Oryzias latipes: one gene and its partners. The protein of the gene in region 1 interacts with the protein of each later gene in a pairwise test. Links are inferred from orthologs where the notes say so. Each region holds a gene or a part of one and is shown in the gene's direction. Other genes may lie near its edges. The genes, in order: kinesin-like protein KIFC3, psmb1, creb5, mid2, tfip11, bysl and c11h1orf109.

The links.
Region 2: the proteins of kinesin-like protein KIFC3 (region 1) and psmb1 interact in binary tests that used the Homo sapiens proteins (3 or more experiments, as listed by UniProt). The two-hybrid records come from large-scale screens. The link is inferred for Oryzias latipes from reciprocal best matches to the Homo sapiens genes KIFC3 and PSMB1.
Region 3: the proteins of kinesin-like protein KIFC3 (region 1) and creb5 interact in binary tests that used the Homo sapiens proteins (3 or more experiments, as listed by UniProt). The two-hybrid records come from large-scale screens. The link is inferred for Oryzias latipes from reciprocal best matches to the Homo sapiens genes KIFC3 and CREB5.
Region 4: the proteins of kinesin-like protein KIFC3 (region 1) and mid2 interact in binary tests that used the Homo sapiens proteins (3 or more experiments, as listed by UniProt). The two-hybrid records come from large-scale screens. The link is inferred for Oryzias latipes from reciprocal best matches to the Homo sapiens genes KIFC3 and MID2.
Region 5: the proteins of kinesin-like protein KIFC3 (region 1) and tfip11 interact in binary tests that used the Homo sapiens proteins (3 or more experiments, as listed by UniProt). The link is inferred for Oryzias latipes from reciprocal best matches to the Homo sapiens genes KIFC3 and TFIP11.
Region 6: the proteins of kinesin-like protein KIFC3 (region 1) and bysl interact in binary tests that used the Homo sapiens proteins (3 or more experiments, as listed by UniProt). The link is inferred for Oryzias latipes from reciprocal best matches to the Homo sapiens genes KIFC3 and BYSL.
Region 7: the proteins of kinesin-like protein KIFC3 (region 1) and c11h1orf109 interact in binary tests that used the Homo sapiens proteins (3 or more experiments, as listed by UniProt). The two-hybrid records come from large-scale screens. The link is inferred for Oryzias latipes from reciprocal best matches to the Homo sapiens genes KIFC3 and AIRIM.

The regions. Positions count from the first base shown.
Region 1 is NC_019874.2:16,696,163-16,699,317, forward strand, and holds the end of kinesin-like protein KIFC3, read left to right. Parts: intron 1-505; coding exon 506-636; intron 637-717; coding exon 718-838; intron 839-924; coding exon 925-1,054; intron 1,055-1,199; coding exon 1,200-1,429; intron 1,430-1,510; coding exon 1,511-1,636; 3' UTR 1,637-2,445; downstream 2,446-3,155. Other genes in the region: ccdc12 (coiled-coil domain-containing protein 12), read right to left, coding at 2,739-2,818. UniProt on the Homo sapiens protein: Minus-end microtubule-dependent motor protein. Involved in apically targeted transport. Required for zonula adherens maintenance.
Region 2 is NC_019861.2:24,487,444-24,491,760, reverse strand, and holds psmb1 (proteasome subunit beta type-1), read left to right. Parts: upstream 1-1,517; 5' UTR 1,518-1,610; coding exon 1,611-1,711; intron 1,712-2,053; coding exon 2,054-2,161; intron 2,162-2,433; coding exon 2,434-2,515; intron 2,516-2,896; coding exon 2,897-3,026; intron 3,027-3,224; coding exon 3,225-3,331; intron 3,332-3,403; coding exon 3,404-3,589; 3' UTR 3,590-3,919; downstream 3,920-4,317. Other genes in the region: phf10 (PHD finger protein 10), read left to right, coding at 82-179. UniProt on the Homo sapiens protein: Non-catalytic component of the 20S core proteasome complex involved in the proteolytic degradation of most intracellular proteins. This complex plays numerous essential roles within the cell by associating with different regulatory particles.
Region 3 is NC_019874.2:16,139,000-16,142,179, reverse strand, and holds the end of creb5 (cyclic AMP-responsive element-binding protein 5), read left to right. Parts: intron 1-134; coding exon 135-292; 3' UTR 293-735; coding exon of another isoform or gene 736-765; 3' UTR 766-2,597; downstream 2,598-3,180. UniProt on the Homo sapiens protein: Binds to the cAMP response element and activates transcription.
Region 4 is NC_019868.2:12,829,923-12,834,379, reverse strand, and holds the start of mid2 (probable E3 ubiquitin-protein ligase MID2), read left to right. Parts: upstream 1-1,568; 5' UTR 1,569-1,942; intron 1,943-4,457. UniProt on the Homo sapiens protein: E3 ubiquitin ligase that plays a role in microtubule stabilization. Mediates the 'Lys-48'-linked polyubiquitination of LRRK2 to drive its localization to microtubules and its proteasomal degradation in neurons.
Region 5 is NC_019867.2:13,548,440-13,552,922, forward strand, and holds the start of tfip11 (tuftelin-interacting protein 11), read left to right. Parts: upstream 1-1,587; 5' UTR 1,588-1,716; intron 1,717-2,115; 5' UTR 2,116-2,117; coding exon 2,118-2,323; intron 2,324-2,402; coding exon 2,403-2,568; intron 2,569-2,649; coding exon 2,650-2,806; intron 2,807-2,915; coding exon 2,916-3,043; intron 3,044-3,173; coding exon 3,174-3,335; intron 3,336-3,568; coding exon 3,569-3,760; intron 3,761-3,871; coding exon 3,872-4,051; intron 4,052-4,194; coding exon 4,195-4,329; intron 4,330-4,456; coding exon 4,457-4,483. Other genes in the region: srrd (SRR1-like protein), read right to left, coding at 1-169, 247-398, 503-601, 687-865, 953-993, 1,104-1,246. UniProt on the Homo sapiens protein: Involved in pre-mRNA splicing, specifically in spliceosome disassembly during late-stage splicing events. Intron turnover seems to proceed through reactions in two lariat-intron associated complexes termed Intron Large (IL) and Intron Small (IS).
Region 6 is NC_019863.2:2,276,555-2,280,934, reverse strand, and holds the start of bysl (bystin), read left to right. Parts: upstream 1-1,451; 5' UTR 1,452-1,560; coding exon 1,561-1,825; intron 1,826-2,453; coding exon 2,454-2,610; intron 2,611-2,707; coding exon 2,708-2,846; intron 2,847-4,380. Other genes in the region: med20 (mediator of RNA polymerase II transcription subunit 20), read right to left, coding at 1-51, 122-375, 923-1,068, 1,241-1,254. UniProt on the Homo sapiens protein: Required for processing of 20S pre-rRNA precursor and biogenesis of 40S ribosomal subunits. May be required for trophinin-dependent regulation of cell adhesion during implantation of human embryos.
Region 7 is NC_019869.2:20,075,600-20,079,795, reverse strand, and holds the start of c11h1orf109 (uncharacterized protein C1orf109 homolog), read left to right. Parts: upstream 1-1,190; 5' UTR 1,191-1,609; coding exon 1,610-1,887; intron 1,888-3,119; coding exon 3,120-3,299; intron 3,300-3,759; coding exon 3,760-3,878; intron 3,879-3,951; coding exon 3,952-3,992; 3' UTR 3,993-4,196. Other genes in the region: cdca8 (borealin), read right to left, coding at 603-693. UniProt on the Homo sapiens protein: Part of the 55LCC heterohexameric ATPase complex which is chromatin-associated and promotes replisome proteostasis to maintain replication fork progression and genome stability.

The DNA.
Region 1 (3,155 bases):
GAAAAGGTTATTGTATTTTTTTTAGGTTTGAGTGAGGCAAGCATAATCATTTAATCCCATTTTATCACAATAAAATCTAAATAGATTCCATTTTGCACATAGAATTTTTCTTTTTTGTTGTTGTTGTAAAAATGAATATTACCTTTTGGAGTTGCCATGCTTAACAGTGCATTTTATTTAGTGGTTGGTTTGTTGGATTATTTCAAGTAATAATAACCAAGTAATAAAAGAACCAAAAACATTGATGTATCCAACCTTGTTAAAATATGACATAATTAATTGATTGGGAAATAAAGATATTTAATAAAGCTGAGACTGTCTTCTTGACATAACTACTCCTAATCATAAATAGACATATTTGCACTTCTAAACACAGTACACAGACATGAAACACTAAATGCATTTAATGTAATGATTGACAAATGGAGTTGTTATGATTTTTTTTATCTGTATTTGAAATGTTCGTGTATACATCTTTTTTACGTATTGAAGCACTGCATTTCAGGGCACCGTGGAAAACCCTGGAATTAACCAGCGAGCTCTGAAACATCTCTTTCATGAGATCGAGGAGAGGAAGGACATGTGGTCTTACAATGTCTCCGTCAGCTCTGTGGAGATCTACAACGAGGTGTTGAGGTACTTTAGCTGCTTTTGCATAAAGCTGGTGTTTTTTTTCAGGGTTGCCAACAAATTGTGTTCTTCTTGTTCCTATTTTAGAGACCTGCTAAGTAAGGATGGAGAGAAACTGGACATAAAGATCAACCCCGATGGAACAGGACAGCTGCATGTGCCTGGCCTCAGAGTTATAGAGGTCAATAGTTTTCAGCACATCAAAAAGGTATCAGAGTTTTTTTAATCATCAGTTTAAACAGTGAAAAAAGGATGCAGACTTAATTCCTGCTCACTGATTTTATGCCCATGAAGATTTTAGCCACAGCTCGACGAAACAGGATCACCTTCGGCACTCAGATGAACCAGCACAGCTCTCGCTCCCATGCTCTGCTCTGCATCACTGTTCAGGGCACTGACCTCGCCACAGGCTCCAAAACCACCGGTCAGTCTCCCTCGCTTTTTCTTATTTTGGAAACAGAGCACCAATGTCAGACTTGTACCTCATAGGTATCACTGGGAAATAGGAAGGAAAACAGGAGAGGAGGCTAGCAACAACTGTCTGTGACTGAGTCCGCTCTTGTCTGCAGGCAAATTGAACCTGGTGGACCTGGCAGGCTCGGAGAGGGTGTGGAAATCTGGGGCCGAGGGAGAAAGGCTGAAAGAAGCCCAAAATATCAACCGCTCACTGCTGGCTTTGGGGGATGTCATTCAGGCTCTCCGTGCTCGACAGACTCACGTCCCCTTCAGGAACTCTCGCCTCACCTACTTATTGCAAGACTCCCTGGGCAAAGGCAGCAAAACGGTCATGGTGGTCCAGGTGAGATTACTTCTCCAGCCCTTTATGAACTTTGGTTCATTAAACGCAAATTACTGAGCCGGATGTTTTTTGTTTACCAAGGTTTCTGCTCTGGAGAGTAACGTCGGAGAAACACTGTGCTCTCTAAAGTTTGCTCAGAGGGTGTGCAAGGTGGAACTAGGTCCTGCAGCCAGGAAGATTGAATCTGGTGTGGGACAGTGTGACTGAATCATCTGGAGTCTGCCTGATCATCATCCAACCGACCAGCCAGTTCCAATACTAGAATAACCCTCAAAGCTCTGCAGCAATCCTGATCAAGGGCTAAATGTGCAGCTGTTGCTGACACCCGAACACAAAACTCCATCATAATCATCCACTTCTGTCGCCATAATTCTTAATCTTTCCTCAGTCTGCATGGAGGAGTTGGTATCTTCCAATGGCCTCGTTCTTCTTCCAGTCTGGCTAATGAACAGAGAAATTCTCATCAGGATATCAACACTTCAGTTCATGCTGAGTTACTCATCCTGTTGTAAATGTCTGTAGTTTGTAATCTTCATCCCAAAAGTGATGTATATCCAAAGGTTGTAGTGTGTGGGAGTAGCTGAAGTACAAGCTGCTAATTTATGTCAGATTTTTGCAGCCTTTTTCTCTTTAGAGCGTTTGCCTTTTGTGGCAGGAATCTGTTGTGGAAGGAGCGGGTGGCCTTTATGTCCCGAGCTGTGCAGTACGCTCCTTCAAGATGAGGGGAGTTTTCACTGAAGAGGCACTTTATTGTAAAAGGAACGTACCATTTCAGCTCAAATGCTTGTAATAGAGTTCACTAGTGAAGTTCATACCAAATACTGTTTATGGGTTCTATTTTGTTCATTGATTTATCAGCGCTTTAAAGACAGTTTTGACTATAATGTAGCAACACGTTGATGTCGCATCAACTAACTTGAGTGCTTAGAGTCACTAAAGATAATAGTGAATCTTCAGGTAATTTTATCAATAAATATGGGTTTTGAAAAGTGCTTTTTGTCTGAATATTCACTGATTAAAAAAAAAAAGAAAAAAAGATGGCAACTAAATTTTGCTTTTCATTGATACTTCTTTTGGCCAAAATATCCCGATAGTTTTCAGTAAAACAACACAAGTCTGAAAAAACAATTTTTACTTTAAATGTTAAAAAATGATAACAGAACTGATTGCAGTAACACACAAATATACAGAACACCTTATTTCTATATAATAACTCTTGACTTGTGGCGAATCCTGACAGGAACTTCCTGCATGAAAGCAGCTGCTGCTTCCTCTGAGGACGCCCTCTGTCTCTGTAAACGTCCCATTTTCACTCCGAGTCCCCCTCCTCCAGTCCGACTGCTCCCACCGCTCCAGCCAGTTCCTCCTCGCTGCCTCGGAGACGATCACCTACATTTGTTTTTTTCAGAAAACAAGCTCAAATGTTTAACTGTTTACGCGCAAGTTGAGACTTTTCAGGGTTTTTTTTTTTACCATGACCTGAGTCCACAAAGAAAATGATGCAAAAACAGCAAAGATTTTCAAAATAAATGATGTCTTCTGTTTATATTTGTTTGCAAACACATTAATTGACAACTAATGGATATTAATGAACAAATACTTCTTTAATTCTCGAATACCTTCAAATTAGGTCATCATCTCCGTTTCCTAACGTTTTTCCACTCTAGGGAGTTTGAAGCTATTTCTAGAAAGTAGATCATTCAACACTGAAGACTTGCATCACTAA
Region 2 (4,317 bases), on another chromosome or scaffold:
AAAGGGAGAGGGGAAACGCATTTATTTTTTATTATCTCTTTGTTTTCTTTTATTGTTTAATACTTTTTTTTGTTTTTCCAGGTCTTTGGGTGTGTGAAGTTTGCGACCAGGGTTTTACACCCAAGAAGAAAGGAGGGGGCAAAACACCTAAAAAGTCCAAGTCAGCCAAAAAGTTATGATTTAGTCATTTATTTATTCCAAGACTGTTGTTGAAGTAAGATTACAATTAAGCATTCAGTTTGACAAAAGAAAACATAACAATGTAAAATAATTACAAATTCTAGATCTTGTGTCCACACTTTCATTCTTTTATATGACTAAAGCAGGAATTATGATTTAAAATCAACAAATTTTCTTTAAAAAAAAAAAAGCCAAATACTTACTTGCTTGTTTCTCTGTGATGTCGACGTACAAACAGTGTTGTTTTTTTACTATACCATACACCTTTGAGTCAATTTTACTGCAGAAAACCAATAAGTTACCCTGTGGGGTTCCAAGCATTTCTTTGGGAACTTTATTTCAGGTCAGCAAATGGTGCTCTTCATTACGTACTACTGATAGTTAGTTTAAAACAGGGCTTTGGTCGAACAACTTTTTGTACGCTTGTGGGTTTCGTAATGTATGATCATTTTTGTTCAAATTCTGTGAAATTTGCATTAAATAAATGGGTTCTCTGATCCTGTACGCCTATTTTAAGTGAACAAGGAAAAACTATGTGTTCTGTCTGTCTGCTTAAGTTTCTTGGTTTTCGAAGTGAATTTTCTGTGGTTTTTGTTTTTCGTAGTTTTACAAAAAAATCGAACTTAAAAAAAGTACTCTAAGACTGAATCTGTAGGTATTTTTTATATTTCTTTTTTAATTTATTTCTTTTGCATCATCCTGGAATTAATGAGTTACAAAATGAGAATTTCAACTAATGTTTATTCACTGCAGTGTTTTTGGTTTGTTTTTCTTTTTTTCTTCTTTTTTTTTAGAATAAAAGTTTCCTTTAAAAGGCTTTTTGTGTCTTGTGTATTAGATAAAATCACAATTTTGACAATTTAGTGAGGAAATATAGTTGTTTGTGATTTTATGATTTTGTAAAAGCAATGGCCATGTAATTAATATCTATTACACTTCTGGATTCCTATAGCAAATCATATAGTGACATAAGTGTTCTATATAAAAAATGTGATTGTTCTTTGGACCAACTGTTTTGCTTGGTTTCTGTTTTCAAGTCTCAGCTGACAAAATTAAAATATAAATAAATTATCTGTATCAGATTTATCTGACTTTCTTTTAATCAAAAACAAACTTTTCAGAAATGTTTGTGTGTTAATAAATAAGATGCAGTGTACAATACAGTTTGTTACATATATGTACTTGTATATTGTTATATAAAATTAGTCCATTTATTGTATTTTGAAAAATAAATAATCAAACGACTTGTGCAGGCAACATTTTAAATATAGAGCCTGTTCTGATGTTACATCTATGCGCCTGTAGAGGCGCTGTCGCGCACACCATATGTGGTCACTCATTTACCGGCGAAGAAGAGTCTGCCATATTGCAGTGATACAGCGAGTTTGCCCGGCTGAAATCTCCAATCTGTTGGCTATCTTGGTTTAAAAATGCTTTCAGCTCAGAATTTTGGAGAATCTGGAAAGATGAAAGAATACCATTATGCGGGACCCACGGAACATCGGTTTTCACCATACGCCTTCAATGGAGGGTTAGTTTTATTTTGATCATCTTGCATTGCGGTGGTAGACTAGCTAGCCGTGCTAAAGCCATTCCTAGCAAACCAGCTCTGTCTAAAAAAAAAAAAAACTATATTAAACGTTAGGCCACTCTGAGTACATTATACCAGACTTGCTGTTGAACAAGTAATTGCATTATCTTATTGAAGTTAACATTTAAAAAGTAAATTGGGTTTAAGTTGAAAGTTTCGCTTTCGGTCTTCTTGGCCTCAGTTAGCATTATGTTTAGGACAAGTTTGTTTTCACAGTTGACCTGCTCTATCAGGGGTTTAAAAAAAAATGAACCCATGTATCTTTGTTTAACATCTCTTTAGAACTGTGCTAGCTGTTGCTGGGGAAGACTTTGCAATTGTTGCTTCAGACACCAGGCTGAGTGAAGGCTACTCCATCCACAGCCGGGACTCGCCGAAATGCTACAAGCTGTAAGTATTCTGTCGTTTCACTGTGCTTCTCTGTAGAGGCAGATAACAGAAGTGGTGACCCTTTAAATACTTGTTAATCTCGTCTTTTTGTGGTGTTATATTTGTGAAATTTTAATTGAAAGTTTCTAATTTTATTCATGCAATTTTGAGAATATTGGGCTTCTGCAGAAGCAGCTTTTAGATTCAGACAATCGGCAAACAACATTTTTTTTATGCAAAAGATTTGCTCTACATTATAAAATGTTGTTTTTTCTTCTCTCTTTTAATTAAAGGACAGACACAACTGTCCTTGGCTGCAGCGGTTTCCATGGTGACTGCCTGACACTGACAAAAATCATTGATGCCAGGCTTAAGGTAGGACAGAGTTCTGGGTTTAATACTTTTTGATGAGATGCCACAATACTTGTCCTTTATCACATAATCTCCTGAGACCCATTTAAAAAGCTGAAAAGGTTCTGGATACATGCATAAGGAAAAACTGTAAATGATAAACTTTAATTTCTCTTTAATGACCCTACAGATTAAAAAAATTCAGAAATTATTGTTATTAAACATACAAAAATAAAATGTGTAATTCTAGGTTTGTTTGCTTATTTTACCGTGCACTCTTAAAACACAAATCAGACATTTCAGTGAAATGTATTGGGATCAGCCCCAAATTAGCTGTACAAATTACAGTGTTTTTGTCACTTGCTGCTACAAAAAATAGAAATGTTGTTTTCTCTCCCTTCTTAGATGTACAAACATTCAAACAACAAGACTATGACCAGTGGAGCCATTGCAGCCATGTTGTCCACTATCCTGTACAGCAGGAGATTCTTCCCATACTATGTCTACAACATCATTGGGGGGCTAGATGAACAAGGTCGGTGGTTGTATTGCATCGCAATTATATTTAGTGGAGTTTTTTGGGCAAATATACTTGTTAAAATAGGATGTTATACATTTCTAAACCACCATATCATTATCATTGGCTGTAGCACATTTGTTATACCTAAGCTGCTTTTTCTCCTGTTGTTTTAAATTGTTTATTCATTAAGAATATTGATCATTTGTAATGTAGGTAAAGGAGCAGTTTACAGCTTTGACCCAGTGGGGTCCTATCAGAGGGACACCTACAAGGCTGGGGGATCAGCTAGTGCAATGCTGCAGCCATTATTAGACAACCAGGTAAACATCACACACATTAATACATCCTAATTATTGTGGACAGAGTCTTTTTTTAAACTTATCTTTCCACAGATCGGTTTCAAGAACATGGAGGGTGTGGAGCATGTTCCTCTGACTAAGGACAAGGCCGTTCAGCTGGTCAAGGACGTCTTCGTTTCAGCTGCTGAAAGAGATGTCTACACAGGAGACGCACTTCGAATTTGCATTGTCACTAAGGAAGGAATTGAAGAGCAAAATATACCACTCAGGAAGGACTAAGAAAAAAACAAGTTTTTTTTTTTGGTCTGTGGGTTCAGCGTATATTCTGCTATTCTGACCCCTTCCTATCAGATTTCTAAGCATAGGAGTGTTGATCCAAAGGTGAACTCTTATTTGGCATCATAACAGACATGTTTTCACTTTATTCTTTATTTTCTGTTCTTGCCGCATTATTGCTAGTTTGGTCAAAGAGCTTCATCATAGATCAGCACTCCTGTTCTAAGAATCCACCTCCCTAGACCCTGCTTTTGTTCTGATTTTCTATCTTTTGAAGTTAAACATTCTCTGCTCTTCTTTTTACATTCTTAATAAATATTAAGAATAAAAAAATGTGTCGTTATTTCATCTTAGCATTAAAACTGGAGCACAGCAAAACAATCAAGAGTTTGCTTTTAGAAGATTTTTCTGACACAAAATACAGAAAACTGCAGAAGTCTGGCAGTAAAAGCTATATCCGTGTTTACAACATTCAACACTACATTAGCAAAATCCTGGGACACAAAAATATTCTCTGGAGTTCAAAACAGTAAGTACTGTATCATAGAATGTAGTAGGAAATATAATATAACTTATTTATACAAAAGTTTAGTGGGAGCTTGAACCGTTTCGAATGAACAGAAAGCTGATGTTCTGCTAAGACCTCTTGCCCCACTTCGTGTAGACACCATTCATTTCACACTTAAAGACAAAATGCTGCCACTTTTTTAAAAATTGTGTGAATGTTGTCA
Region 3 (3,180 bases), about 560 kb from region 1:
TTTTGTCCCAAAATGACTGTTTTTAGCAAAGTAAAGACATTTCAGGGTTTGAGGTGCACACTTGTGTCTGTGCCCTAATTAAAGGCTTTTCCTACATCTAAACCTGATCCGCGTTGTCTCTGCTGTGTCCTCAGGTCCAGAGAGCAGTCCAGCAGGCAGCCCAGCTCCAGCATGCAAACAGCAGCAGCAGGTCATCCAGCACAACACCATAACAACCTCTACAACGACTGTAGGGGGCAGCAGTGTGCACGGGCAGGCCAACCATCACACAGACATTAATCCTATCCACTAGGAACAAGTCTAAAACCTCAGCTACAGCCCCGAACCCCCACCCACCACAACCTCTGCATTTTGAGGGTTACCAGCTGCACACGCTGCCCCCACCCCTCAAAGAAAAAATAAATATAAAAACCTCAAAGGCCTGTGAGGCTGTTCTTTATACAGTAGCTAAAGTATATTTTTATAGACCTATTAACGCATAAATGTTCGATGCTCTTGCTTTTTTACCTGCTTCTTTTGCGCTCGCTGAAAGGTTAATTTTGCTCATATCATGCACCGTTTCAATGGTTTTCTGTAGTGTAACGGTACTAAACTGACCATAGTGGTTTAAATTTTTTTTTTTTTTTTAAAAAGGACACATGAGCATTATCTGACTGTCATTGCTACGAACGATTGTTTCACTTGGCAGATGGACTGAAAAGTAAACCAAATGTTGTCTGTTTCACATGTGGACAGAGTGCTGAGCATTTGCTGCACATTACGTAAAGAAACCGAGTCATGCGGTCACCATGATGTCCAAAAAGACAGAAATATGCAAGCAGGTATAATATTTGTTTGTTTTGTTGGAAATAAAGGGACTGTTAATATTCTCTCATCAGCATAGTTTTCATAAGAATGGGACTTATGGAGAGCACGGAATACGACATGATAGTGATGTAGCCATATGATCAAGTCAGAGAATAAACTACAGTATCGATCATTTTCTCTTGAATGATCATGTAATAATCACTGTGATAGCGGTGAGGCAGCTCAGGACCAGGCAAAGCTTTAGAGTGTGTGTGGCATCCCTTCTGGTCCACTTTTTAATGTTTATTTAACTTTTTAAAATGAAGACTTCAAATTAAATAGCGATAATTGTGTGCTTCAGCACCGTTTTGCATGTGGATATTTCGTACATTTGTGTTTTCCTTCTTTTGTCTGCAGAGCAAAGTTCAGCGGCCGCGCTGTGCGAAAAAGTGACGACTTGTAGCGTTTTCTTTCCCCGTTGAGGGGGGGGGGGGACTGGCAACCTTGAAGGGAACAATCCTTGGCATGGTTTCCAAGATGTCACAACGTGCCTCAAATCTTTATTCAAATAACTGTGGGCTTATTGCAGGCGGCAACAATTGCAATTTCAAGAATCTCTTGGTTTGTTTGTTCATTCATGTCTTAATGCATTTACTATAAGGCCAAAATTCCTCTGATTCCCAGATGAATACACATCTGACCTTGAAACCTAATCTTCTCATCTTGACCGCAGCTCCTTGTTCTTTCCCAGGAATGTCAGTTCATTAGCATGAAGACCACAGTGCACTGTGTTTTACAGTAAGACGATGGAGATCCACTCCACTGACAGGTGGAGTAATCGCAGCGCTGTCTATGCACTTTGTCCTCTGTCGTGCCAGAGGGTAGAATAGCCATATTAAGGTCAGAGTAATTCTCAGTGATCCCCTGTCTACACACACCAGCAACAGACCTCACTGTGTTTGGCTTTATGAAGAGACTGTGCCTGGCTTGCATCACGTTGAAACCAGGAGGGTTACATTGCAAGGCTCTAGTTAAGGACCAAGCATCATTTCATTTGTGCTCTCGTTGTTGTTTTTCTTCTCAAAGATGAAGACAGTGAAAGTTTATATTTCCATTCCCTTTTTGAGTGCATTTGTATCTTTTATGTCTTTTTTTTTTCTAATGTTGGACTTAAATTCTCATGAAAAAAAGGGCTTTGTTGCACCAACCTTAAGTACTGAACCTTGCCTTATATCTGGCCGTCAAACCACCCTTTGTACATTAAGTTTCTCCAAATCCTTTGCATGTGAAAATGGATCAACAATCTAAAAAGTATGTTCAACTGGAATGAATAAAAACAGAGTAAAATGTATTGACAGGGGATCTTGGTTTGGAGAAAAGATCTTTGAAAAGTCAGATGTGCAGCATGAATGTGCGTGTGAGAGTATTCTGTGCGCTGGAGAACAAAACTCTTTCTCCCCACGGATGTTTTAAATGTATAATTTTAAATATTGTACATAATATTGTTCATTTTCTATAATCCTGGATATGTAACGCAACCACCTTTCTATTCAAAGGGCGTATGAATGTGTGGTACGTTTGTAAATAATGTTCTTTTCGCACTTGTTGCCTTTTGTTGTATTTCAAGGCTTGCTCCAGCACTTGTTATATAATGAACATCAATGCCTGCATCACTTTGTACATTTTTTTGTTTGTTTTTTGGCGTGTCGTTTATTACATGGTTACATTTTATTTGACATTTGTACAGGCGTCTAAGCATATTGTTGCTGTTACATTATGATATAAAAAAATAAAGCACTTGTTCTGTAAAATGACTGTATTTTTTTCTCTTTTAAAGACAATTATTTGCTCTAAATTGACTTCTGCCAAAGGAAAAACGCAGTTTAAACCAAACCTTTGTTGATGCTCAGCCTTGAAAAATATCCCCTCATAAAATACTTATGCTTTAAAGGTTTAGAATGCTCATTAATTATTGATGTGTCTAGACAGCTTGATAGAGGCCCGATGAAATAACATTGGAGTTAAATTTGCAGCACACACATGTTGTTCTTGAGTCCAGATAGATGCAAAGTGGCCGCTGCACTCAGATGAAGAGATGTGCTCATATTTAGATTTTCCATCAGATTAGAACAGGCATCAGCTCCAGGATGCTTAAGTTAGGGGATGTCAACCCATGCATGCTCACTCCAACAGGTCCTTTAGAACTTCATATTCACCTTTCAGGGGAAGAAAGTTCCACGTGTGTGGAGAAAGAGAACTTTACACCAAAAACCCTTTTTTTCTTAAACACACAACTGCAAATGTGTTTTATTTAACCCTTGTGCTATCCTAGGCACTTTAACATTGGGAGTTGGGTCATCTAGACCCACTAGACAGTGCGCTGAGCCTTTTTTC
Region 4 (4,457 bases), on another chromosome or scaffold:
TGGACGGATAGATGGATGGTTGAATGTCTTGACATTTCTAATTTAATGGGTTGTCACAAGATAATAACACGTAGAAAAAAAATTAAAGATTGGGCCACTGGTCATTAAAGTCTTGTTGTTCAGAAGAAGTTTTCACCACCCTGCTGTAAGCACCTTCAGTTATATAACCTCCATTGTCATAATAAGTTGCCATTATATTTTTTCCCATTTTTCCAGAGAAGGATTAGCCAGTTTAACATTTGTTTTTTTTCACATACCATTCATCACAAGCAAAATGAACAACATATTAATATTTAGAAATTATAAAAATACAGTTTGAATTAATATGTAAACCAACCTGTGTGTTAGACTATAAAACAAAGCATTAATGTGTCTAGATGGAAGGTAGCCGGTGTTAGAGGATGCAGACAGGGTTAGATGGAGGAAGCTTATTCGCTGTGGCGACCCCTGAAGGGAAGGAAAAGAAGAAGAATTTGGATGGGATTTTAAAAAAACAAATTGTCCACCCAAAGCTCTTGTGGTCTAGAGAAATATTTCATGAGGATGTTTTTCATATTCTGACACAGCTTTGATGTTAGTCACACTGCAGGATGGTTTACTGCTCTATAAGAGCAGCTCCACATAAATAGATGCAGTATTACAAAATATTTATTTGTGAGTTTGTGGTTTTGCACAATTTGCACACTTTTATTCAACCTTAAATAAGGGATTGAAAAACTCAATGCATGTTTTGTGTCACAAAAGCTGAGGAGTCCCTGTAAAGCTTCTAATGTTGAGCAAGTCATACTGACAGGCTCCAAATGCTCTGCCCTGGAGTATTTTATAGCTTCATTTTGTGTGTTTATATGTTTACATAAAAAGTTTGCAGGTTACGGAAAAAAATATAAAACAATGGACAATACAGGCTTGTGCTGTTTGCAGCCCTTCAGGCTAATTGCAGTTCTGAAATGCAGTATAACTGTTTTACAGAGAAGGCCTGTGAGACAAAGAAAACTGTATTTTGGCTTGCTTGTGGGGATAAAGTTGCAAGGTTGGCAAGTCTCCCCTGCTAATCCTGTGGCCTCCAGCATGTTGCAAAGATAGTCTGTCCCAAATACATGCAGTAGGTCAGTTTAACATACATTTCTGCTCAGATATTTTGCGGTCTCTGACAATAAATCTGGAGGGAAAATTTGATGTTTCTTTCTTTTTTTTTAAATTATTGCATAAGCAAAAGGTAAATTTTTACCTTTTTAAAAAAGTATTGGAAAATAAAATATTTTGTGAAATTGCTCTTGTAGTATAATTGGTCTCCAGTTGGGAGTTATTTTTACTAAGTGGGCATTGTCTGTGTCATGGCAAGATTGTAATTCATTTTTAATAACGACCATGTGTTTTTTTTTTTAATCCACAATTTGAATAAAATAAATAAATGGGTTAAAAATAAAAGGACATATTTTTAGTATCTATAGTTCTTTGGAAATCTATAAAGACTGCACTGTTGAAAGTGAACAGAAATGACAGCGACGCCGTGAGGCCACGCGGGAGGAGAGCGCGGGTGGAGCAAAAGAGACGTTGTGCGCACAGCTCGGGGTTTTCACAGTGGAGCAGTGGAGTAACCGATCCCAGATGCTGCCGTGAGGGATCGAGAGCTATTCCCGTATCCCTGTGGGTTGCCCACGTGACTCCTCGGGGATTGTTTGGTGTGGGGACCACGTCAGGCGGCAGGGAGAGCGCGCAACGTTGCGCGCAACTGAGTTGGAAAGCAGCACCCAGAAGAGGAAGACGCGCTCTCGCTCCTCCGGCGGCTCGTCATCCAGATGTGTTTTGGGGCGTTGACTCTCGTCTCTCACCCACTCTGATGCTCAGTCGCACCTTTGTCCAAACTTTCCGTCCAGGATCTGTGATCTTCTCCAACTGTTCTTCCACGAGGGTCCATCCAGAGCTGTCACGGGGGGCGGAGGTAAGCTGCGCGTCTTTGTTGTGTTTATTTTTGGTGGAGTAGCCTCAGGACAACGTGCGCTGAAGGATAAGCGCTGACTGAAGCATCCGTCAATGCGCGAAGGGCGCGTTCTGTTCTAATGACCCACATCCATGGAGGAGGGGGGGGGGGGGCAGAATGAAAAACAAGCAGAGCATGACTGACCATCTCATTCTGTTTTAAATGAGGTGTGCCACTTTTACACCACAAGCATTTTTTTTTTGGAGAGTCAGGAAACTGTTTCTACAAGATTTTGTGGGCATTATTTTGAGTTTCTTTTATGCACATTTCATGCACACCACACGTATCCTCTGTGGTATTGCATAGCATTTCAGGAACCAAGGCAGCCACCATAACTGACACCTGATCCGGGAGCCTGATGTCAGTGAGACGCTTTGTTTGAAGAACACTCAAAAAAGCTGGGAATAGCTCCTGGAGTGTGACATGAATACATTTCACAATAGATTACAACTCAGTTAAAAACTGAAATTAATTACCATAATTTTTAGAGTCACATTTTTTGTTATTGACACAATTTTTGTTATGGTTTGGCAAAGGGTGCTACTTATATCAACCTTTTCCTCTTTATTAGGCATTTTTTGGCTGCTGTGACTTAAACTGTGAAAAATGTAGTAAAGTACGTTTTTTGTTTTGTTTTCTCATTCCTAGTGACATTAGGGAGAAAGTGGCACAGCGGCAGAGTGTAAAATGTCAATGGGCAGCAACTGATCAATAATGAATGAGTCAAAACAATGCAGGGCAGGGAAAGAGGGGTCAACTGTCACGAAGTGCTGCTTGTCCCTTTTTTCACCAAGGCTACCCATTGATTCAATAGAAACCAATACATTAGTGACACAATAAAACCAAGTGCTGTGTCTGTTGCTGGGGAATTCAGCGGCACATTTGATGAAGTGGTGTTTCACAGTCTTTTAAAGTGATTTATGGTCCCCTGCACTCTTTTCTTGCTCTGTGGTTAATGCACGATCAAAGTGGCTAATGAGGCAGGTCTCAGTGGATGGGGGCTCGACACCCAAATGCAGTCGAGCTAGTCGTGAGAGTATAGCTGACACCCTCATTCATCATGGTTCTACAGGCCTGCTCTTTCCAATTTATCTGCTTTTTTTTCCTTCCCCCTTTACGCTCTTAGATGGTAATTATTATGATGTTTTAATGATGACAACAGTAGTCACTTTTTTGTGACAGGGACAGGGGTGTCTGTCAGTTGACACGCAACTAGAATTTTGCAGCTGCAGAGGATTCCATGAATAGAACTGAGAGGTACATGTTAGACTGTGTGTCTTAGCTGGCATTGCTCACACAGAACCAAAAAAGAAAAAAAGAAAAAATTTAATTCTTAAGGAAAAAACAAGTCTTCAAAAAGTACTGTTTTTTTTCTGACTATAAGACGCTCCAGGGTACATGCCACAGCAGCCAAAAAGTGCCTAGAAAAAAAGAAACGATCATATATAAGTCACACTTTTGAGAGAATTTAATTAAACAAAATACAGAAAAGGGATCTTAATCTTGAAAGGCAAATCCTATTTGCAGCAAAATTTCACTGTACTTGTACAATGACAATAAAGCTATAACTTTGATGACTTCTTTTCAATTTTTATAATGGAATGGATAACAGTAATAGTCAAAATATCTGTACACTTCACTACCATAATACATTGATTCCTATTTAGCTTCATGAAACATAGGAGTAGTTTAGAATAGCCCAACATATGAACAATTATTCAGATAACCATATCATAAAGAACATGCTAACAAGTCATTTAAACTCTTTATATTACTTCAAATGACTAAATCCGTTCAATTCTTCATCCTCTGTTTCACTTTGGAACAATTCTGCTTAGCCCGGCGTAAGACTGAATGACTCTTCTTCCTCTCTGATGTTGTCAGTAGCAAATACTGATACACACACCTACAGTGCCTTCTAGCTGTTGTGCATTTTTTCTTTTTTTTAAAAACACATATAAGTCACAACTGAGTATACTTTGCACCCCCGCCCAAATACATGCAAAAAAAATGCGATTTATACTCCAAAAATAGGGTATATGTATTATTTATTTTTTAAGATTAAAAAGAAAGAAAAAATTAACTTGTATAGTTGCTAAACTAACTCTTATCACCTTAAATGCCCAATATGATCTTCAGTGGCTATCATTTTGCTATTAATTTTTAATGTTTCAAGCTTTAAATAATGTAAAATGTTCTGGGTAATAATAAAAGCTGTGTTTAGCTGAAAGAGAGCTCAGTCTGTTGTTGATACACAAGAGTGTCATCAGCATAGAAATAGAAATGTTATTTGACTTTTAGTCCTTTTTTTTAATTATAATTTGTGTTTTTAAAACTCACACATAAGAACCTGGATCAATTTTTTCATCAAGTAACTGAAAGTTTCAAATATGCTTCAAAGAAATTCTAAAAAAGTTTTTAGTAAGTTTGAGTCATGGCATCTCAACGTAAAATCTTCTTCCTTTCACCACTCATG
Region 5 (4,483 bases), on another chromosome or scaffold:
CCAGTTAGTCTGTGGCACTTTGTGTAAGATGTGGGGAGGAAAAGCAATGACTGCCGTATCACTGAAGACATCTATCATGTGAGAAGGACAAGGCAGCATTTTTTCCTCACAGAGGTCCACAGCTTTACTGATGTAGCTGTATTCCTGTTTGAACACTCTTTCCACCGTTCTGCAACAGACAGAGGACATTATTTCATCTCTGTTTGCTAAAAACGATGCGCTCCATCATCAGTGTTTTCTACGAACCTTTCCCTCATACCATTGAAGCTGTTTCCAATGATTACAAGCTGGTATAATCCCCGTAAGCTCCAGTTTTTCCACAGTAGGTTGTTGTACAGAGCCTTCCCACAGTGCATGAGATAAAAAAGAGTGGGCTTGGTCACCAGACGCTTCCCCTCCTAAATAAAACAGCGGATACTTTAGTCTGTTTAGATCTCAGTTACGGTGATAACATCAGCAGTTTGTTCTCTAGAAGTGCAAAAAGAAAAACAATTGACATGACCTCGTTTTCTGTGAGTACAGTCATTCCCAGCTCCCTCAAGACATCCTGCTCTCCAGAGGAGAATATGGGATCATAAACCAAGCAATCCCTTAAGGAAACCTTTAGGAGAAAAAAAACTAAATGAGCAACTCAAAACAAACATAACACATGTTTGTTAGAACATAGTCTAATGCTCTCTTCTGACCTGTAATACTTCCAGCAGCAGAAGCAGCATGGCAAGCTGATACCGGGCTGCAGTGCAAGAAGAAAAGGAGCCAAGGCCATAACACACACACTCCAGCTGATCACCTGTGTTCTTCAGATGCTCCTCAGTGACGTCCTTCTCTGCAGATGCTGATGCTGTGGATGCCATCAGCAGCTCATCTGAGGACGAGGAACATAAGAGTTACAATTCAATTACACACTAAATAAAAAAAACATGTCTAAAAAATTTGGTTATGTTTTACTTACCTTTCCATTTGTGCCAAAACTCTTCGCATCTCAACTCAGTCCTATGAGACAGAGAGTAAAGAATGAGATATCAGAATTAGTTTTCCCCTCGATAAGGCACAATGAACTATGTTTATGAGTGGTTTTCCGTTTTTTTTATTTTATTTCTTACACAGTGGTCCTGATCCGTCTGACAACTTTCTCGACATCAAGCTGGTCTTCTTGGACGCTGGTGGAACTTAAAGGCACATGAGATTTAAACTTCCTTGTTTGCCCTTTTCGACGCCGAGCGACCTGCCACTCACTTTCAGACATTTTTTTTATCTCATTCCCATCATTCAACGATCTATAATAAAATGTTAGGGGTGAAAAAAAAACAGTGATAATAATTAAAAAACAAACACCCTAATCACCTCCGCCACAAAATCAGCAGCGCGTAGGACGGTTTTAAGTGTAACACATTTGTCTTCCGGTGTAACGCCAAAATAAAAGCTTTTATCACATAATTTATTAACCTAAATGTGTGGTGTTGCTGTTTTAACTTAGAGAAATTTATATAAAAACCAACACAAATCTTTAGTAAATGCAAACAAATAAAAATAAGTAAAATCTCAAAGTTTTAAGGTCACAACATTTATTCGTCAGTACTGACGGACAGACTTTACCCGGAAGTATTTCCACGTTCGTGCGTTGAACGAAAAGCTACACAGATAACCTCTTCTTGCTACAGACAGCCAAGAATGAGTTTTAATTAATCTCTAAGTGTATAAACTATTTCTTGTCAAGTAAGCTTTGTTTGTATTAAGTGCCTTTCTACTTTCCAAGTTCGAAATGTTTCTGCAGTCGTAATGGGATTTAATGTCCCAACTATCGTTAGCTAGATTTCGCTAAAAAATCTCATCATTTGCATTATTAATATCTGAGTTCTGTTAGTTAATACCTTTTTGCTTGAAACTTCTTAATGTATTTTTACGCTTTCAATCATACAAATGTGCAATACAGTTGATATTTATGTTGATAATTGTTTGTGACCGAAACAGTTTTGTGGCTAGCTTCGTGCTTAGCTAGCGTTAGCAATCATTGCTGACTGTGGTTTCATGCTGTTGTACGATTTTTTAAGCAACTTGAATGTTTTTCAATTGTATGGCTTTTATGATTTTTTTTTGTATTGGGTCTCTATCTAGAAATGTCGATGTCCCATCTTTACGGGCGGAGGGAAGAAGAGGAAGAAGGTGTGGAGATCGAAAGCTTCGAGGTGACAGACTGGGATCTGGCCAATGAGTTTAACCCAGAACGCCGCAGGTTTAGGCAGACCAAGGAGCAGGCCACTTATGGGATCTGGGCTGACAAAGATTCAGATGAAGATGAGAGACCCAGCTTTGGTGGCAAGAGGTAATTCACAGGTTTGATGCTCTGATGTCTAAATGTGAAAATTTTTGCAGAGGATGTTAACAGTGTACATTTTCTTTAGGTCGAAAGATTACAGCACCCCAGTGAATTTTGTTAGTGCCGGTCTACGTAAAACTGCAGCCGAGGAGAAACAGCAAGACAAAGAAGAAGGTTCTGATGATTCGGAAGAGGATGCCCCTGCAGTTCCCCCTCCTACTCGTGGAATTGCACCTAGAAAACTTCAGATGGTAAAGTTTCGCTTAAGAACATATTTTATCTAAAAAAGCTTTCTTTTTAAACTGACGTCTATAATTTCTTTGTTTTGTCAGAGTAATTTTCGTGGGAATCAGTCCCAGAGGTTTGCTGGTGGAATACAATCTGGACAGGGTATTGGAACCTGGGAGAAGCACACAAAAGGAATTGGACAGAAGCTTCTGCAGAAAATGGGTTACCAGCCTGGAAAGGGGCTTGGAAAAAATGCTCAAGGTAGGCAGCGTAAAGGAGGAAAAGTACTGTACACGATTGTGCTTTTGCATGCATTTCAGAGGGAAAATAATAGAGATTTTATTGCCATGCCTCTGTTTTGTTTATGTAGGTATTGTAAACCCTATTGAGGCAAAGGTCCGTAAAGGTAAAGGAGCTGTAGGTGCATATGGCAATGAGAGAACCCAGCAGAGTCTGCAGGACTTCCCTGTGGTTGACTCTGAAGAAGAGGAGGAAAAGGTGAGATTTTGCCACGAGCAGTTCTTTACTCCATATAATCTTGTTTTCACAGTGATTGTGTATCTGAAGAATTGAGGGCTAACTGTGAAATTATCTTCTTGTTTTTCTCCTGTAATGTGTGTTGTTGTAGGAGTTTCAAAAAGAATTGGGTCAGTGGCGAAAGGATCCTGCGGGCTCCGCAGTCAAGAAGAAACCAAAATACTCATACAGAACTGCAGATGAGCTGAGGGCTAAAGGCAAAATGGTTTCTCGGAACATGGCAGCATCTGCAGGAGAGTTGGCGCAGGTTAAGGTGCGTTAAAATCCTGCGTTATGTCCTTTTAATTTCGGGTCAGAACAATGAAAAAAACCACAAACTTTAATATTTTAAAGAGCTTCACAAGCATCTACTTGTTTTTTTTTTTTTTTTTACATTTCCTCCTTTCAGCATAAAACTGAAATAAATTGAAAGATTTTTATGGCCATGGAAGTAAAATGATTCAAGTTTTCTTTTTATTAATTGTTTTTATCTCTCTTCAAATTTAGGTTATAGATATGACTGTAAGAGAGCCAAAGGTTTACTACAGTTACAGTCAGATAGCCAACAAACACAGTGTTCCCGATGAAACCCCACCAGCCATGTCCACACGGGATCAGAAGGGTTCCGGCTTCGCTCTCCCTGAGCTTGAGCATAATCTTCAGCTGCTGATCGACCTCACAGAACAGGACATTTTACAGGTCAGAGGAAAATCTGAAATTCTTTCAAATCATTTTCAACTATTAACCCGTTTCAAGTGGGCTTCCAGATTTAATTTTTTTCTTCTGCTCTCTTTATTTATTCTTTTGTAGTCGGCCAGACGTCTACAGCATGAAAAGGACGTGGTCGTTTCTCTGAGTCATGAGTCCCGTGCGTTGCAGAGCAGACTAGAAGCAGAGCAAGATGCCATCCAGAAAATGGAGGCTGTTTTGGCACTGGTGGAGCGTTTTCCCTCTGGAGAGACGCCACCAGGGGAGGGACCGACTCTTCAGGTACGTGGCACATGAAAATACCCAAACTAGATGTACTTATCTTGCAGTTTATTTGTTCCTAATGGTTTTTAATCTCCATTCTTCTAACATTTAATCATTTTGAACATACTTATTTGTTTATTTTCTCACCTCTCTGTGCCCAGGAGTGTGCCCAGATCTTTGAGACTTTACAAACAGATTATTATGAAGAGTATAAAATGATGGGATTGGCAGACCTGGCTGTGGCAGTTGTTCATCCTTTACTTAAGGAGAAACTTCACTCATGGGAGCCTCTAAAGGTTTTTTTTTTTTAATTATTCTAATTAAATTATTACGCTTTTATTTCTGTGGGGGGGAAAACAAACACCTTATTTTCAACATGTTGCTCAATTAAGATACTAGAGTTAAGACTGTTTTTTGTTGTAGGACAGTGCATACTGTCTGGAAGACATT
Region 6 (4,380 bases), on another chromosome or scaffold:
CTTCATGAGGTTCCAGCAGTCCCCAGGAACCACACAGGGGCAGTACTCCACCTGCAGTAAAACACACAGGGCACATCATGTCCACCCGTCCCGCTGAAAGGGACAAACTGCATTTCCATACCTCCACTGAAATGCCTCTGGCGCTGGAGCTCATCGTCACAGTGCCCACCTTTATCAAAAAGTCACAGTATCGGTAGCGGGAGCCTCGACTCTCCACCTTGTGTCCCTTGGCGTTCTGGAAATGACTTTTTAACTTGGACATGAGGACGTCAAAGTTAGCATCAGCTACTAAGTAGGGTCCTCCTTCGAATAGGGCCATGCAGCTCAGAGGGGTTTCAGAGTTATGCATCACGTATAAGAGCTTGGAGGGCTGACCTGTGACAGACGGGAAACACTGGATGATGCATTCAACTCAATAATACATAAACTCCACATCCATGATTCAAATAAAGGCACATCTGTTATTGATGTAAAAAAGGTTTTTAAAGTCTAAAACCTTAAACAATATTTGGTTTTATAGTAAGGCTTTGAGATGGTTTCTACCATAAAAGGCCAGAGCCATTAAAGTGCAGCTGAAGGGGTGATCTGTCGTCACACTCCAGTAGAACTAATAGGACCCTTATCTAATTTGTAAAATATTCTCAAGATAATTTGACAAACACACATAAGATAAAGTGGCTATGTATGCTTAATTGTGTCCCATATTTACTGCAGATGTGTCTGAAGGAAGAATTAGCAAAAGCCCTGAATGTTCTTGTTAAAAATGCTACCAATTAAATGCAAGGGCACAAACGGAGCTCATATGCCAATCACCTTTTTTTAATTGCTTTTTAAAGGTCTAAGCAACCACAACTAATTACCACATGAATAAATAACTACTAATATGTTTCCCGCGTGATGCTTGAAAAAGTAGCGAGCTTACCGACAACGTTTCCCGTGGCGTGGTATGTCTCACAATCCACGCAGAAGCTGCCTTGTTTCACAGAACCGAGCTGCTCCAGCTTTTTTTGCAGGACGTCCACGGTCTGCTGCACACTCTTGCCCTCCGCTATGGGCACCTGACAAACACTGAAAGACAAAACACCCGACTGAGCAGCGACAACCCAACGCATCCATGAAGGGGAGGAGCACGCTTTCCCCAAAAGAACAAACATTTGAAATAGACAGGTCCTATAAACATAGCGAAACCAAACTATGTTGAAATAATAATTACACTTTAATGAGCCAAAATATTCCTTACCAAGTTACTCCCATTTTTGTTTTGCCTCCTTCGCAACTACTTCCGGTTAAACAAATTGACTTCCGGTAAAGGAAAAAATAAAATAAAAATACAAGTGAACATAGACGAATTGAGTTAAACTGATTAACTCAGTTAATAAACATAGGTTCTTTCATATATAATGTTTCGAAACATTTTTAATGAAACCGGATGTGACGTAATGTATTTCCGCTGCCTCTGTCGCGCATGCCGTTTGTCCGCACGTGCTAAACAGCTGGGTGTTTACACACTAAAAAGGCATAGACAGGCTTTAGCTTGTAAATTTTTTTGGAGCTGTAGCGATGCCGAAAGTGAAGAAATCTAAAGGTGGAGGAGAAAAGAGCTCTGGATCCGTGGCGCTGGCTGACCAGATCCTGCAGACGGACACGGTCCGAGCCCGCAACCGGGTTAAGAGCAGAGACCAGCGGCCAGAAAGCGACGACACCTACGTAGACGAGCGGCTGTCGCGGAAAATCCTACAGCAAGCCCGAATTCAGCAAGAGGAGCTTCAGACCGAATATGGGCTGGTACCGGAGAAGAAGAAGGCGACACCGGTCACTGTTCTTGGTAATGTTGGATCAGAACCAGGACATCCGCTTCAGTTTAGAAAATGATCAAACAGAAGCCGTTGATTAAGGTTTCTAAAGGTTCTCTCTTGTTCTAGTTTTTCTTACCGAAGAAAACGATGACCAACTTTAGTAAAGTTGCATCACAGATTCATCACAATTCAGACCCATCTACCCTTAACAAAGACAAGTACACTTGAAGTTTACTTAAGGATACTTGAGTAATAAGTGTGTAGTAGTGTACAAGTATAGACCATGTACGTGTAGTGTAGGACATATAGTAACTGAATACTTTTTCAGACTTTTATTGGAAAATTTTAAATGTATATAAAAAGAAAATTCTAGTTTACTGCTTTACTTTTAGTATAGACAGTATACTTGTAGTTTACTTAAATAGACTACTTTTTGCTAAGGGATGCACTAATGCTATGACTTAAAAATAAAGTTAACTGTTCACTAATGATGGTTTTAGTAAACACTCCAAATTAAAATACTTTCAGTAAATAAATACTTAAAAATAGAAGTAATAATGTTTTCATTTACTCGTTTCTGTAGTTAGTTGGGTGATTCCATACATCTAGATCTGCATCTTTTCATTATGTGAGTTCTAAACACTCCTGTAACTGTAGGTCCTGAATCTGGGGATGCAGACTCGGATGAAGAGTGGCCCGCACTGGGAGAAGCAGTTTCTGGGGCGGCAGAAACCGAATGTGATGCTGAAATTATTGTAGACCCAGAAGACGAAAAGGCCATTGAGATGTTCATGAATAAAAACCCACCAATGAGGCAAGAAACATGGCAGTTCTGACTAACCAACAACAACAAACAGAAACCACCAGGCCAGTTTCTTCTGTCCCTACTAACATGTTTCTCTTTCTCGTAGGAGGACCCTGGCAGACATAATCATGGAGAAAATCACTGAGAAGCAGACCGAAGTGGGGACGGTGATGTCGGAGGTGTCAGGGCGCCCCATGCCTCAGCTGGACCCCAGAATTACAGAGGTTTATAGAGGTGTGGGAAAGGTGAGCTTTCTTATATTATTGAAGACATAAGCCGCGGTTACATGCGCAAAATATCTGGATCGGATTAAAATCCAACCGTGTACATGGGATCAGAAAACCTTTTTCCGATTAGAACAAACGTTCACATGGGTCACACTTTCGGTTGGAATAAATCATTTGAGCATGAGCAGTAGTGTTGAAAATACCGAAAGAGGAAATGGGTCCCACAGTAAACAAACCGAGCTGCCACATACATTCATGCAGCAGCTCGGTAATATACAAGACGATCTTCTAAACGTGCTTTTATCAATGTTATGAATATTATGAAGCGCCTGTTCGCTCATCATTTTAATTTTAATCCGTGTGGTCAGTGCTTTTTTTTGTGGAAGAACCCTGGAGAGGCTAACACACGCGCTAACAACATTAGCCTTTTTTGATGAACACAAACACTCCCCTCAAACACAAAGTTATGAATCCGGCTGCTCTGCTCAGAGACACAGTTCGCTCCGTCCACCGGCACCCGAGCCCGGACCACGCAGGGTCCAGACGTCACGGGGCACGAAGCGCTCCCCCTCGCAGCCCCCTCGTGAGGGGTGTAAGAGAGGGGAGAGGTGAAGAGCCAGCAGGGCGAGAGCAGAGCGGCGGTTCTCACCGGTCCTCCGCAGAGCAGCCGGTTGGTCCTGTTTGCGCTCCAAAGCTTTCTCTGGAGCGATACACCGTCTATGCGTGACGTTAAACCAGAGCAGTAGTGACACGATCGGAATGAACTGTTTACATGTAACACGATTGGATCAACAATCGGCATAACCCACCTATCTCGATCGGAAAGACATTTTGATCCAAACGAGTCTGATCAGGGCAGAGTATTCTGAACGGTGTGTTTACATGACACATTTTCCTTCCGATTCAGGTGTTCTTTCCAATTACTTTTGCCCATGTAAACACAGCTACTATAACACGGTGTTGTACAGTCTGATGGCTGTGGGGAGGAATGACCTGCGGTAGCGCTCCTTCTTACACTGAGGGTGCAACAGTCTGATGCTGAAGGAGCTGGTCAGCGCTTCTACAGTTTGGTGCAGGGGGTGGGAGGGGTTATCCATGATGGATGTTAGCTTAGCTTAACAAACACAGCCCACAATGGCACTGTCCTCTGAGAACTTCTGCAGGTGACAGTGGTGGGAGTTGTAGGTGAAGTCCGATGTGTACAGGGTGAACAGGTGTGGGGAGAGCACAGTCCCTTGAGGTGCCCCCGTGCTGCAGACCACCACATCAGACACACAGCCTCACAAACTGTGGTCTGTTTGTGAGGTAGTTGATGGTCCAAGCAACCAGATGTTGGTCCACACCTGCAACCTCCAGCTTCCTCCTCAGCAGTGATGGCTGGATGGTGTTGAAAGCACTGGAGAAATCAAAAAAACATGACTCTCACAGGGCTCCCAGGGGACTCCAGGTGAGAGGGTTAGGTGCTGCAGGTAGATGATGGCGTCATCCACCCCAATGCCTGGTCGATATGCAAACTGCAGCGGGTCCAGTGCTGAGCTCACCTGAGTGCAGA
Region 7 (4,196 bases), on another chromosome or scaffold:
TATAATTATCTTTTTAGCAACAAAACAAAAAACACAAACAGGAAATAAGCGATCAGTAAATTTACAAACAAATTCTAACTAGTTTTTGAGCACATTTTTTTATTAGTGCATGAAATTGCACATATAAGGAGAGGAACTCTTGTAGGGTCTTTCATGAAAAAAAACCTGCAATTTCCAAATGATAATAACAAATTATAACAGCTAAATGAAGTTATTTTTTGTTTTCTTTGGATTGTCTTGAAGACTCATTCATCCAGGTTGATTCCATCATAGTAGTAGGTTTAGGGGCTGTCATCTAGACTTAGTTTTTAAAGTTAGAAGATGTTTCACCCCTTATCCAAGAGGCTTTGTCAATTCTGAATTAGCTGGTAAGAGCTGGCATATATATATATATATATATATATATATATATATATATATATATATATATATATATATATATATATATATATATATATATATATCCCCAACCTGGTCAGCTCTTTCAGCTGTTACTGACAAAGGTTGAACAGGTTCGGTTTGTTGGGTTTCAGAACACTTTATTTCAGACAACAAACTGTAGGCCGAGCCTTTACTTAAGCCGAACTAGCATTGTCGTTTACCTTCGCTGTCGAAATCCTCCAAAAAAACTTCCAGTTTTTCAATTTTCTGGTTGTTCTTTCGCTGCTTCGTGGTCCTTTTCCTGGGCGCCATGTCCGCTCAGAACTTCACAAACAGGAGAAAACTGTGAAACGTTGTTTTCGAGATGGAAAAAAATAAGCCGCCGAGGACGTTAGCAGCTATGTTGTTAGCTTTGGAATCGGCAGGAGTTTATCCGGCAGATTAATTTACTCCCGTTTTCATTCTTTGGTCTCACTTATGATATAAATGTTTTTAGATTCAATTCGTCTGAGTTTGAAGCGGGTTTTCTTACAAAGGTAACAGTTGTGTGGGTTTCCCTCTGGCCTGCCTTCTTCGCGAAGTCGTTTTCAAATGTCCGCGCGAGGCGGAGCCAAGACACAAATCCAGCCAATCAGGACGTGGATTGAGCCCCGTCATCAGGGTTCGGCACTGCGAATGTTCAATGCTGCGTTCGAAGACAACTCGGGAAAAAATGAATCGTCCCCTGATGGAAAGCGTTTCAGTAAGAATCAAAAAAAGCATTTTTGTAAAACAGCTGAAGGGCAGGAAATACTAAAAATAGTCACCAAGTAAAAAGTTTTTTTAACTCACAATTACAATTTACCCAATTTAACCAAGATAAATAGCAACTTCCTACAGACATGCCTGTGATTATAAATATAAAAAAAAGTTCTCAAAAAGTCCAGAAGCATTAACAAAACCAGTGGGAAAATATATCAATAAAATGTATGTATGTGTGTATGTAGATTTAAAAAGGAGAGCACGAAAAAATACAATTTTCCGAAATCAAGTGCCTTTTTTGAGGAGCTACTGTATTTATGGGGCACCGTATCTCCAAGGATCAGTAAAGGCAGCATATGTCACTACTTGACACCGGAAGCGCTTTCTGGTTCTGCGCAGAAAAGTAGTGCAGAATTTTGCTGAGGCTTTCAGACTTGGTCAGAACTATATTTACAGTCCCATCCAAGCCAGAGCGGAGGCCGAGGGCATGTCTGACATCTCCCGACCGACGCTCAGCGCCCTCCACCAGGCGTTCAGGAACAGCTTCGCCGCGCTGGAGAGCAACCAGCGGCTGTGGGGGAGCGAGCTAGCGGAGTGCAGCCCTCTCCTGGGGTCTCTGGGGAACCTAGCGGAGCAGATGAGAGCTCTCTCTAACGTGCGGGTCTCCAGCACGCCGCTCGGAACCTTCCCGAAGCTGGAGGAGCGGCTGCGCTTCAAACTGCAGGAGGCCGCGGACACGGTGCTGGAGAAACTCAACGAGAAGATGTGAGACACGCGACAACTCCACACACACGCGCCTCTCGGATGACGTCATCACAGGGACTCCTGTGACGTTGAAAAGACTATTAGCTCTGTTTTTTGTGACAGCATAAAAAAAGTTTGTTTCAAAATAAGAGCTCCTGTAGTACAGATACTAGCACCAAACCATATATTACAATTTCCGTTTAAAGAAAATATTAAAGATAAAACCCCAAATCAAAATAAGCCACATAAGACCTTTACCAGAAACTAGAACCATCATTAAGCTACGTTCACACCGCCCTCAGCGATGCGCGTTCAAGAAACCACCAATAAAAAAAATGTAAATTTGCATTTTGGTTTAAACTCTTGAAGTTTCTACGATAATTTCTGAGCTCTGTATGTACAAAAAGTGCATCTATTAAATGTACCTTAAAAGTTAAACCAGGTCGAACTTTGACCAATTAGGGACTCAGATTTGGTAGTGACGCATGGATGGCACCCCTTTAAATTTACGGAAACACCAACCGTTTGAAAGTTGACCATGGAGGACAAATTAATGATTTTGATTTGATTCCAGTCGGAATATATGACACTAAATCTTTCATATATTGGACTAGAGATGCGAAAAGAAAAAGCCTGGAGTCAGATATACAAGAGATTTGCACCACTTTGACATTTCGCACCAAGACTCTGCCAACTGTAGGTGGAAGACAAGTCATGGTCAATTGTAGAAGAAGGAGAAGCCCCAACCCACTAGCACTGTGTGAACACTATGGGTTAACATGTTCTGGAACGCGTGTCTTTTTTTTTCTTTTTTTTTTTAAATGGTTTATTTCAACCAATCAAATAAGAACAATACACAACAACAATACAATCATCAGTTATACATTCATACAATGACGAATCAAACTTAGGATATTTAGACATATTAATAAATATTGCTTGAAAGGGAGTGGAAGGAAGCGAACGTATATAATCCCACCCCGTTATACCGTGTCATATGCCAGGTGTGTCCATAGCAGAGACAGTGCTGATGCATTCAGGGACATCATGGTTTTTTCTTCTGCTCCTCATTCACAGCAATTTGAATAAAGACATTTTCAGATTGCCAATTTTAAGCATACTTTTCTTTATGTATGTCCTCGATCATCAGAAAAAGGCCGCAAAAACTTGTCAAAACAGATAAAAACATGATTTTTATCAGTCTTCAAGGGCTTCCTTGTCCGAGGACTAAGACAGACTCCTTTCCTTCTCAGGTGTCGTCTGCAGTCTGCCAGAGACGCCATCAGTAACCAGGTGAGGTCCGTCATGCAGCTGTATGAGCAGAACGCCACCAGTTTGGACCTGCAGGCCGTCACAGAGCGCTCCGCCGTCACCCCGTCAGTCGCAGACATGCTGGAGTGGCTTCAGGACGCCGAGCGCCACTACAGGCAGCAGTATCCTTCCTGTCTGTGCTGTTGGTACGGTCCGCAGCATTCATGGACGGCAAGGACCGGATTGTTTTTGCAATTCTTTTTTTCTGAGAGCGAAACGGCAAATGCTAAAATATTTACCAAGATCTGCACAGACCCGGTACCCGCTGCATAGGAAGGCTTGACATAGTCCACCCCCTACACACACAAACAAACAAACTAACAAATAAAATAAAATAAACATTCCAGTGGGAGAAACCATCACAAAAATGAATGGGGCAAAGATCTCTAATGGGGTTCAAAAAATATATTTCAAATCCTTCAATCAAAGCCAAAACGGAGGATATCCATAGAAAACTTTAAAATTATGATTATGATCATGCCCTCCAGGGCAAAACAAAAGTTGGCGGCGAGGGCGGGGAATGGTAGAGCCAGCAGTCTGTTTTTTTGTTTCTGTCTTCTGCTCTCCTGAGCTCATGTTCAGATTCCTGCAGAGGAAAGTTCTGCTGCAAACGCTCAGACCCAACGACCTCGCTCTGCTGGAATCCCTTCCTGAGAGGTGGAAGTCCCTGGAGTCTCCTGACGGCGAGCAGCGAATCACAGGTAACATTAACTGTCCGAAGCTTGAAACGCGAGCTCCGCCAACTCTGAGATGTGGGACTCTTGTCTCCTGCAGAAACACTTTGCAGAGTGTCATTTTTCCTGGAGCTGGAGTGAAGACGGAGGAGCAGAACTGGAACCAGAACCTTCTGAGCAGGACAGAAGTCAATGATGCAGACACGGAGAGGAAGACGAGGGATTTGAAGACACTTCATCAAATCGTCTTTATTGTCTACTGAACACAGTCGGGTTCACTGCAGTTGCAACACCACACACGTCAGAGAGGACAACTGCAGCCAATCACAGCGCAGCGGCGCCCAA